3 linked regions of the Schizosaccharomyces pombe genome follow. The gene in region 1 interacts genetically with each later gene. Each region holds a gene or a part of one and is shown on either strand. Other genes may lie near its edges.

Region 1 (3,470 bases):
TTTTTCAAGCAATATGTATTTTAGTCGATGTTTGCTTAAAGACAAAGAGAAATGCAAGTTACTAAGCCTGCCTATGCTTACCGATGCGGTCATGCATATTTACGAACTATTGAAATACGGTAAATAAAAATAACGAATTCCATAATTCTCAACCAACTTTTTGTTGTTTACAGAAAATGAATAATTCAATTCATCGAAAATGCATTTTGTTTTCTATAGCATTCTTTGTACTGTTTTTGAAGTTAAAAACACTATCATTTAGTAAATAATGTACTTTCGACCCGGCTTTTTTTTGAGACAACTGTTGTTGACAATTTTAAGGTCTGTGGGTCAATTTATATATTTGTCAAACGTTCGTAAACAAATGTATTTGTATCTTAGTTTCATACGAGCTCCTTTAGCTATATGTGATCTACTCTCACTCGGGATCTACAGGGCTGTAAAATTTTTTGCACTCAAGTTTCACGCGATTATTATCAGATGCACCTGAATAAAAAAGAATAAAGTAAAATAAAAAGCCGAATGTTTTATAACGTAGTAAAATTCCTTCTTATTTTGATCGCTTTGCCATTCATTTGATTATGTTTATAATGATAATTTCACGTGCAATGTCAACTTTGATAGACGGCTACATCTATTTCTAATTCGTAACGCTATAAAAAAAAACTCCATTTTAAACTGAGAATAAAGCAAGAAGTCGATTAGCCGAATATAGATATCAGCATGATTCGTTTTAAACGGCCCAAAGCCTTGTATATATTTGAGTAATTTTCTACTGTACTTAATTGTCTGTAATTAAACAACTATTTGTTACTCCTACCTTGTTACACTTGGATTTAATACTCTGGAATTAGTGTACTAACTCCTAAATAAATATTTAAGTAGTATTTTTCTTTAAGATATTTCTTTAATAAACATTCTCTTCTAATGAAAAGAAAAGCGTCATTATTGGTATTTTAGTTTTCAGAGCAAAGAGGTACTTAACATTTATTATGTCGCAATTATTTTATATATATATTATATTAATATTTTGTAATGAGAAACCTAGGCCTAATAGTGTAGTGGTTAACATACCTCTTTCGGGTAATCCCCACTTGTATGCTGAGTTTAGAGGTGATCCCTGGTTCGAATCCTGGTTAGGCCCCTTTTTATACTGGGCTTGCTGTATAAATTTATCTGATTAATTTTGAAACTACGCAAACCAACTTTCAATAATTAAAAAGTTTTCCTTACACCTTGCTTGATTACCTTTTAATAGATGTGAAATAAGAACTACTAAATTTGTGATAAATACCGAAAACAATCAGAAGAGTCGAAAAGAAGCATTCAAAAAATTGTGTAAATAACGAGTAGGTTTCTAATAATACGATAATTTCACAGGATGCCTATAATGGATCTGGCAGCTAATGAGCAAATCATTTTTACTTTTTTTTTTATTTAAAACATACGAAAAGATTCTCTTTTTTTGCTGCAAACAAAATTTACTGTAATTGAACCTAGAATTGGTAGCAAAGGCATTACACCGTATTACTGTAAACTTCACTAATGTTTGTGTTTTTAGGCGCATGATGAACATGATTACTCAAGAAAGTAACCAGCGACTATGTCAAATTTGCTTCTGATCATTGACTCGGTTTCACAAAAAATAAGAGACAGGAGGAAGTTGGAAGAGTTTGGACAGAATCCCGATGAAGAAATTGAGTCTTCATTGAAAGATGTTCGGCAAGAATTGCAAAAACTTAATGAGGAGCAATCGCGATTAGAGAAAAATGCACAAATCCCAGAGTACAGAGTACGAGAATCCGAAGCATTTCTTATTAGAATGCAAAGGAGGTTAGAGTCTGCTGAGGAAGAGTTTGAGAAGCAGCGGCGTGCATCCTCAATTCCTGCTGACGGAACAAGTGCCTTTTCTGCAAACCCGCAAGTTGCAAGTACGAATAATAAGTTAACTCCCCTTCCTTCTTTACAAAAAACGACTTCGAGTAGTGAGGGATCTGATATTGAGATGGAGGCCATGTATCCGGTTGATGGCAATGACCCTGATCCCATAAACGTAAACGTTTTGGCTCAAATGCATCAGCAAATGCTCAACGAACAAGAAGAATCTTTAGGAGGGATCGAAGCAAGTGTCCAAAGGCAAAAGCGGATGGGATATGCAATGAATACAGAATTGTCCGAACAAAATGTTTTACTAGATAATATGAATAATGATGCTGATCGAATTGAGAGGAGGTTTGATCATGCAAAAAATCGATTAAACAAGGTCAGCCGAAAGGCTAAACAGTATCCCAGATGCTTTATTATTTTGCTCCTTTGTGCGTTGTTATTACTTGTGGCTTCCATTTAGGGTGCAAATAAATATCACTTAGCAATTGTACTTGCTGTAACTCTGTTACACTTTCACTTAATTCTTTTATTTCACGTCCTCTTTGAACTAGGCTATATAGTTCTTTTATTTATATTTAATAACCGTGATATTTACGAACTTTTTTTTTACGATTTTGAAAATGTTTTTGTGATCTTCAACTTCTTTTGCTAAACGAACCTTCCCTTTATAGGGAATACAGAAATTAACTTTTTCGTACATTCCAGTTTCTAACCATTGACTGTCTTTCTACTTTAGTAATTATTTTTCTGCTAGCGCATTTCTTATCGAAATCATTTTTGTGTTCTTTTAAGGGCCGTCCCCCTTGTTCACAAAGCTAGTTTTGACGACTTAAATCAAGTGAATATAGTGCATGCAGAGTGAATGCTTAATAACCATTTGTTACAAACTTTGTTTCGCTAATAACTCCTTATTTGACATTTGAATAAATAACCTATTAGACTTTCAAAATTTTTAGATTCAGGGCAGTAAACAATAAACAACAATATCTTCAATTAGCTGTATCAATTTATTTTCAGAAGTTTTGCTATATTATTCCTTCATCTCATTAAAAAATATTCTCTTCTATTATTAAACATACGTAGTCATGTTATCATTATCATTATTAAGGAAAAGTTTGAACGAGTAGATTCTTTCTTGAGAATTAAGGGAACATGTGCTTGAATGCCATTTTTTTCATCTTAAATATAAAGCCTCCGTTGCTATTGTTAACCATATCACGCTGAACCTTTTTTGATAATAAAATATCAGAAGCAACCCTCTTAACTAATGTGTTGTGAACCTCTCAGCATTGCATATCTTAGCGTAATTAAATATTCGGTAAAAGAGGATCGTTTTCCTATCAACAATTGAACCCCAAATCAAAATATTCAAAACTTCAGATCAATCCTTAAATTAATTAAAAACCGAATCAAAGCTAGTTGATTTTTGTTTAAAAAAACTAAAAGATGCATTTCATTAAGAAACAAATAGTATAAAATATAAAGATATGAAAAAAATTAAAATGAGGGCGGTTGATTCCGATTATTATCTGTAAGCAAACCGGAAGTTTCGGATACAGGATAATTAAAGTCTGAAGACCAAT
Region 2 (3,177 bases), 2.5 Mb from region 1:
CTTGTATTCAGCAGTTGCGGCTCGATCAGGAGTCTCGTAATCCAGGATTTCGTAAATTATGGCATTGTGATCATGGATCATTAAAAAAAAAATTAAATGTTGTAAAGGTGAATTGAAACGAAAGACAACCATCATTTCAAGCTAAACCTCAATCCAACATCCAAAGAATCAACTAAGACCTAACCGGTATTCACTCTTTAATATGATATCCCCTCTTTATCAGTGATGTTTTCGGGTATCGCAATTATGAAGTAAGTCATTCTTCATAATATTTGATTTCGATGGAAAAAAAGCGCAAAAAAAAAAGAGGAAGAAAATATTAACTAAATCAAAACAGTACGTAATTGGTATTCACAGTTGGATTAAAAGTCTGCTTAAGGAAATTAGCTATTAGCACTAGTTAGCTATGATCAACCGCCGACTGTTGTATTCGGTACCGAGCGACAAGGTTGGTACAATAAGGGACTAAGTGAATGAATGAAATTAATGAAAGCGAATGAATAAGGTAAATATTAATTTAATGGGTGAATTGTAAATAAATTATATTGAGTATTCGAGTGAAACAGATGAACTGTATCGAATTAACCGTTCATATATTTGTCCATAAAAGATTGTAAACCAGAGAGGTATCTTAAACACTGAATCTTACTGACCTTCATTTTTACAAGTTTTTATTTTCCTTCATCCATTGCAATCATTCATTTCGGATGATTGAATTGGAAAACATTGCCAATATGATTATTTAGGTTCATTATTTTATATATTTATTTATTGGCATAAAATTTTTACTACTAGTTTTTCTGCCGCTAAAAGAAACAATAATTTATTCTAGATATAAATTTCTTTTTTTATTTTTTATATTTTAATGGACGCATGTGAATCACTTTTCCATTTGAAATTTCAATTTTCAATAATATGCTGCTACCTTAGAACTTGCAATATTAAAATTGATGCGAAATCTTAGTAAACGTAATATCATGTGCAATACAATCAAAAGTGATTTGAACTGTGACCTAATATCAAAGGTGGACTTACAACCTGTTTTCTAATTGTACTGGCAAATTTAAACATCATGCTTACGTTAAACCTAGCGTTTCTCCATTGCGAGAATATCAGCACTCATAAAAATTTGTGTACTGTGATTTTTTTCCTATTACATTAGCATTGAAGCATGCCATGACATTACAGTACAGTGCATTTCAGGCCCGACGAGAAAAAATAAATAAATAAACTTACGTATACATCTATATAAATCAGCGTCGTATGAATTCCTGTTTTCTCCTAATGATAAAACAAACAACTGTAGCTCAATTGAAAATTAGAGTGCTTGTTTCTGTCAGTGTATTTCCAACAAACATAATTTTATGAATAACAAATTATCCATAAAATGCTTTTTGGTAAATCCATATGCTACCTCCATATAGTAATATACACAATTAAAGATCCGCAATTTTAAAGAACTGTGCCAAAGACGTACGTACAGTTCTATTCTATGAACTTATATACTGAATATGTAATTGTTTAAAAGTGAAACATAGAAAATGCGGCAACTTCATTTTTCCCGATGGATGAATCGCTCTTTTCTTGAATAGTAACTTTAAAAACTACCGTTTTAAAAAAGAAAAATATTATTGAAAAATCTCGAAAATACAAAGATCCATTTCATTTATTGATTCCTCTGAACACAAGCCCCTATAACACTTCAAACCTGCCGATTTCGTAATAGCGATCGTTCATATAATCATACTACTCACCGATCACGCTTATACCACTACCGTCAACTGTGGGAATCTGAGATTTAACCTGCCTGCTGAAAGGGGCCATCTAGCTGTAATAAACCTTGTTTTCACCCATAATGTTTTCTAAAACTCTTTCCGTATCTCGCCTCCTGATGACCCGCTCTTTCTACAGTTCTACAGTAGTTAAGAATGTCAGCATCTTTGATTTCGAAAAGGTAAACCAACATAGGAATACGTTTGCTTTCATATGCGATGTTTTCTGGTTAAAGCTAAGTTTTACACTTCGCTACTCTACTCTCCAAGTATTTTGGAATTATTAACGGTACTAACTTGAAATAGGTTTATAACCTTAGTAAAAGACCAACTGGCGACAAATCCACCGTTTTAATTGGTAAGGACAATACAATAGTGAGTTAAAACTTATTCTGCTAACATGTCAGACGTTCGTGAGCCCGATGAATTTAAGCAAGGTGCAATCGAAACTTCTTATAATTTACCTGTTGGAAAAATCGAGGAAGCCATGAAACTTAGTGACGAGGAGTTTTCCAAGACTTATGGATTCAGCAAACCCGTTTTTGAGGACAACGTTGTAGTTTACTGTCGCTCTGGTAGAAGAAGTACGACCGCTTCTGACATTCTCACCAAACTCGGCTATAAAAAGTATGTTTGTATAGGTGAACAATTCCACTTAATTTCGAGAACAGTGTTCAAAAACTAACCTTTTAGTATTGGAAACTACACTGGCTCATGGCTTGAGTGGTCCGACAAAATTAAGTCTAAGTGAGGGTAGACTCGAACGCTTTCCAGCCTTCTCACCCATTACGTTACCTTTTAGTTTTATATGTAGTTTAAGTTTCTAGAGTTGAATGCATGCATCGTATGCTTGCTCACCATTTTTAGATGATAAGTAAGGTGTACTTAGAAAACAAAAACAATTTTACTGCAATGTAACAATAAGGTGAATTGAACTATGATAAGTTACTTACTCAAGCGATTTATTCCTTCGCATTTCTATTGTCAAAGACTTCGACGAAAGGGTAAAGCTGTAAATACATTGGAAGCTATTAATATGGGAAAATATATTTTGAGACAGTCATTGTAGTTAATTCCGGGTTTAGAAAGAACACCTCCAAATTCAATTAAACTAGGGAATACAGTTCAAGCACGTGTTAAAGATAACTCTAAGAAATTAGTTTTCGAACAACCAGGTGGAATTAAAATTGATGGGTTTTTGACATTTAAAGGCTTGAAGAATACTATTCATACCTTGCCGGTTTGCTCAAAACGCGAATAACATTTTTTTCTTTTGCACTGAATGTTACAATCTCAATTACAAGTATGATTAGAAAGGAGACCTTTGAACTGACTGTCCCCTAAATTTCTAATGTAGAATTTTTACTTTCTCTAAATTTAAGAAAATTCAGAATCATACTTCATA
Region 3 (4,938 bases), on another chromosome or scaffold:
AGTAAATTCATCGCTAGTAGTTACTTTCATTGTAATTAGCTTTGTTAACTCATTTTTGCAATCTTTTGTGTGCATATAGTAATTTTACCTCGTCAAACAGCACTTTTACTCAACGTTGTACATAAGACGATGGTTGAACTAATGATGTAGTGTCTTCATTCGTAACAACTCATATTTTATAACTTACTTCCTACTAACGCGGTTTTAATCCTAAACTTGAATAAACTAGTGGTTTGTTTAATGCAATTCATTAAAAGGACATTTCCGCGAAGGGCCTTTGTCGATTTGCTCCTAAACCGCTTCTGCTTGCGGGAATTTGCAACCACGTATAGTGTTTCAGTAAGTAATGCGCGGAAATTAGTACGAAAGCGCCTTTTAATCGCTGATGCTTTGAAATTCAAGGAGCAAGTCAACAATCTAAATGAGTTTCGAAATAAAAAAACTAAGTCATCCTTAATAAGAAACGATGGTTTCAAACTGGCTAAAAATGTATCTTCGTTACTTCAAAAAGAGTCTTTAGAGAAAGCATTGCATTTACTGTACGAGAGATCAAATGCCAAGAAGACGGTTGCCTATAACCTTGTACTACAATATCATTTAGCTAAAGGGCATTACAACGCTGCTTGGTCTTTGTACAATGATATGAAAAAGCGCCAACAAAAACCTAGCGATCATACATACTCCATTCTTCTAAAGGGATTTTGCGATGCTATTGAAAAGAATAAGCAAGGAAATTTTTCTAAACTACGTGAATATAGTGAAAAGGTAACAGCTAGTGCTCTCAAGGAGTCTAATAATGTCACATCCAATTTGCATCACATACGAATTATATCCAAGTGTAGTCTAAAGCTTAAAAGTATGGTATTGGTGTCAATGATTATTCCATCCATCAAACAAACATTGGATTTCTATAGTGGATCTCAAATTCTTCGACTTTTGAACGACTTTTCTATGTTCAATCCGGAACAACGTGAAGAAGTGTTAAAGATGGGGACGAATCTTTGGAATTATTTTGTCCTTGAATGCCAAAAGAAAGGAATAGCAGTTGATGAAAGTCTTATTTGTTCCTTTGTGAAACTTCTGGCTACTAGCAACTCGCCTCAAGTGAGAAACGTGGGGTTAAATATTCTTACAAAAGTGATGGGATTGGAATATCAGATTTTCGAAGATTCCAACTTGCGTTATCCTTTACCCCCATATTGCGATTGTACTTCAAGAAGTTTGGTTACAGCATTACAGGTCATTCGTCAAATACAAAACGGTGATTTGTTAGCAAGGTATTGGAAGTATTTTGAGGAAAGTCACAAATTTGATTTAAATCTTCAAGTATATCATGAGAAGCTACGTAACCTTGTTCAGCAGGGCCAAGCAGCTGAATGCTTAAATACCATTAAAAGGATGTCGCATAACGGTCCTTTCCCTACTCAGCAGACATTTTTGATTGTCTTATCATTATGCAAAAGGCCGAAATTTTATAGCTACACGAAAAGCTTCTTAGACTTGGCCAAGAAATTGAACGTCCCCGTTGAAGCAACCTAAAAATATCATCAAGTGTTTAATAATTCATCGATACCTTTTTATGTCATTTATAATTTTCTATTAATTTATAAGAAATGAATTCAAATAATCGTCATGTAATTTATTTATTTGTACATGTTTACCTTGTCCGTTTGAAACTGTAGAATGGAACCCTTATTATTTTAACGTCAATTTAGCAAACGTAATTTAAAATTGTTTGTTGAAAAGCCATGAATTAACTAAGAGTTATAATTATGTTTCTGTTGCATGCCACTGATTTAGCCTGAACTTCACCTAGACGTAGTATTAACTTAGGAACTACTGATTTTGGGCATAAAGAGCTATATACTCACTAAAAATGCAAGGATTTAATATGGGGAAATATATTCCCCCGGAAGGGCCGAATGCTAAAAGAAAATTTGATAAATTACGAAATGTAATTCGGTTTGAAATGCCATTTCCAGTGTGGTGCAACAATTGTGAAAATATCATTCAACAAGGCACTAGATTCAATGCTGTTAAAAAAGAGATTGGCTCATACTATACTACGAAAATATGGTCATTCAGCTTAAAATGTCATTTATGCTCAAACCCTATCGATGTACATACGGATCCTAAGGTACTGGTTTGATTAATTTAACAAATTTGTTACTGACATAAATAGAATACAGAATACATCGTTGCTTCTGGAGGCAGAAGGAAAATTGAACCTCAAGACATCAATGAACGTCCTGCAAAAGCTGAAAACGACGAAAAGGTGCCGTCTGATGCAATTGAAGCGCTGGAAACCCAATTAACTCAGCAAAAGTCAGAAAAGCATAATAGTTCTGTAATAAACTTTATATATGAGAAAAATGAAAGGCTTTGGTCGGATCCTTTCGTTTCTTCTCAGAGGCTGCGAAAACAGTTTCGGGTAAGAAGAATTTGTTTTGCGTTAAAATTTTCATATTAACTAACCCATAACTTAGGAAAGGAAAAAAATTGAAAAAAAGCAAGAAGCTAAAGATCTATCTCTCAAAAACCGTGCAGCGTTGGACATTGATATATTACCACCCTCTTCTTCTGACAAGGATAAGGCATTATTGTTGCTAGATAACGAATTAGGAAAGAATAAATTTATAAGGAAATTAGATTATAGAAGAACATTAATGCCCTCTTCTAGAACATTTTCGACTTTTGCAAAGTTTGCTGAGACTTCATTCGCAAAAAAAGATCCTTTTGCTCGAAAATTTGTCCCTTCCGAGAAGCTAAGGAGCGAGCAAAGGAAATTTCCTACAGAAAATTTAAAGGGAGAGAAAATCCTTGAAGATAATTCGGTTTCTCTCGTCAATTATGAAGTGAGTGATGATGAAGGATAATTATTTTGGTTAAATACGAAGACTTTAAAAGTATCTTCTATCAAAAGATTAACTACTTGTTATTCATTAAATTTTTATACAATATGGGTATCTAATGAAGCAAAAAAATATGGATGTCATGCAACCCAATTAATTACCGTGATGCTTCCTTTTGTACTTCCTTGGATCCTTCCTACTCATGCGAACGCGATCGCGCATTCCTTTTCCTCCCTCCCAGTAGGCACTGGTTTGTTTTTTCACAGTCATATTTCCACAATGGGGGCAAGTTGCATCCTTTTTGTAGAAAGATTCCATGGCACAGTACCCACATATTATTCGATTAGCATGCTCAAATGTATGATTTTGATCAGCGTCATGACATTCATCACATGGATAAACACGATCACAACATGAAAAACGAAACCCTGATTGTTAATTATGAATTTTATAAACGACTTACATCTGAATGATTTTTTGTAATGTTCGCAAGCACCATTATTGGGAAGTGGCAATCCTTTCGTAATGTTTAAGTTTTGTTTTTGCTTCTTTTTTGCGCTCACCTTCCCGCCCATTGAACTTTGTCGTTGTTTTAACAAATGAAATTCGGTATCTTGATGTTCAACCAAGATTCTGTTTTTGCATACTTTACAAAACTGTAGCATGGGCTGCATGGAAGAAATACCTTTAAAGGATGTTATCTGCTCATCAACACATTCCATACAAGAGACCTGACAGTCAATGGGCATCACGTCAACCGGTACACATCCTAAAGTATGGAGGATACCTAAACGGGCATTATTTGGGTGAATCACACCAGGCACCCAAACTAATCTTAGAGTATTACTACACTTATTGCAAACAAGAGAAAATTTTGTAGCAATAGAAATTTCACTTCCATAATGGCACCGAACACACTTTATGACCAAACGTAAAATTGGTGCTTTGAGAGTACCGACATTAGTTAAATGCGGATTCTTCCATTCTAAGCAGTATTCGTTACCCAGAAGCTCTGTGTCTTTGCTCTGAATGTCATGATCGTTACTGTAAGCATCCTGTGGTTCATTAACATTTTGTAGATCATCTTCTTTCCCATCGTTTCCTCCTTTTGAATAAATAATTTTTTTTGGCTTTTCATCATTGAATAACTGTTCAGAGCCAGAGATGGTAGTTTTTGTTTGGGTAGTATTCTGCTTTTGACAGTGATTTTGACCACGCAGTACTTCATAGTCAAGTGTAGTGTTCAAATGAACCCTCTCTGATAGAGGTCCTTCAAGCTTATTTGCCAACGGCTCTAAGTCAGTTGGGGTTTCTGGTTTCTTAGAATCGACTTGTTGAACCATCAACTCACGCTCTTTTGTATTGCATGTCTCAAATGATTTCCAATTTTGTAACAAATAATTAAATAAACTTGTCAAAGTTGTTTTCTGATTTTGAAATGCCGTTTCAACGTACTTATTCATTGCCGTTTGCATGAACTCTTGATTTTTTTCAAGTAATACCGATATTTGAAACGGTTTATCTTTATTTATAACTAAAGTAATCAATCCATGATCACTGGGCAAGGATAAGAAAATCTCATTTCTTGCCTCTCTGGTACTAGTTAATAAAGATGTTTACATTAACTAACCCACAGCTAACCTGCTTAGTACTTACATAACTTCCGGATTAAGCCTTCGCCGGAATACTTGTATCTGCAAGTCCCAATTTGAATCCTTCATAGCTTCAATTGAAACCATAATAACCAAAAAAGGCTATAGTCTTGTAGTATTTGGTTCAATTCAGGTTAAGTCGCCAACACAAATACTCGGTTCTTCCTCGGATGTCCGATGATTATTTCGACAGACTATTTGAATTAGCATTCGTTTATATTAATGAAGATGAAACGATTCAAAGCTGTTCCTTCAGAGGACAACGCTGGCTTGAAGAGGTATGTCTAATTTTTCCGTGCCGTTTATAGTAATGTGCTTCAATTACTAACAGTTTTGAGGCCCAAACTCTTGAACAAAAAAATTCATTACTCAAAGCATACTATTACTATTTAAAAGCACTAAAACTTGCTTACGAAATTCCATGCCGATTCGAG

Evidence for each region.
Region 2: mutations in fsv1 (region 1) and rdl2 together harm fitness more than expected from each alone (negative genetic interaction), as found in Schizosaccharomyces pombe (one large-scale study listed by BioGRID).
Region 3: mutations in fsv1 (region 1) and saf4 together harm fitness more than expected from each alone (negative genetic interaction), as found in Schizosaccharomyces pombe (one large-scale study listed by BioGRID).

Annotation. Positions count from the first base shown.
Region 1 is NC_003424.3:1,312,598-1,316,067, reverse strand, and holds fsv1 (SNARE Stx8), read left to right. Parts: upstream 1-1,587; 5' UTR 1,588-1,603; coding exon 1,604-2,347; 3' UTR 2,348-2,832; downstream 2,833-3,470. Other genes in the region: DNA-binding transcription factor, glucose starvation sensing, Rst2, read right to left, coding at 3,385-3,470. UniProt on the Schizosaccharomyces pombe protein: Involved in vesicle-mediated protein transport between the Golgi and the vacuole.
Region 2 is NC_003424.3:3,838,059-3,841,235, reverse strand, and holds rdl2 (thiosulfate sulfurtransferase Rdl2), read left to right. Parts: upstream 1-1,765; 5' UTR 1,766-1,855; coding exon 1,856-1,954; exon of another isoform or gene 1,955-2,078; coding exon 2,079-2,130; exon of another isoform or gene 2,131-2,179; coding exon 2,180-2,399; exon of another isoform or gene 2,400-2,465; coding exon 2,466-2,523; 3' UTR 2,524-2,576; downstream 2,577-3,177.
Region 3 is NC_003423.3:1,785,985-1,790,922, reverse strand, and holds saf4 (splicing-associated factor Saf4), read left to right. Parts: upstream 1-1,876; coding exon 1,877-2,137; exon of another isoform or gene 2,138-2,182; coding exon 2,183-2,431; exon of another isoform or gene 2,432-2,486; coding exon 2,487-2,876; 3' UTR 2,877-3,005; coding exon of another isoform or gene 3,006-3,280; 3' UTR 3,281-3,315; downstream 3,316-4,938. Other genes in the region: PPR repeat-containing protein Ppr2, read left to right, coding at 241-1,539; SPOM_SPBC18H10.09 (zf-CHY type zinc finger protein), read right to left, coding at 3,006-3,280, 3,316-4,445, 4,509-4,591; ubiquitin hydrolase Ubp4, read left to right, coding at 4,675-4,782, 4,843-4,938.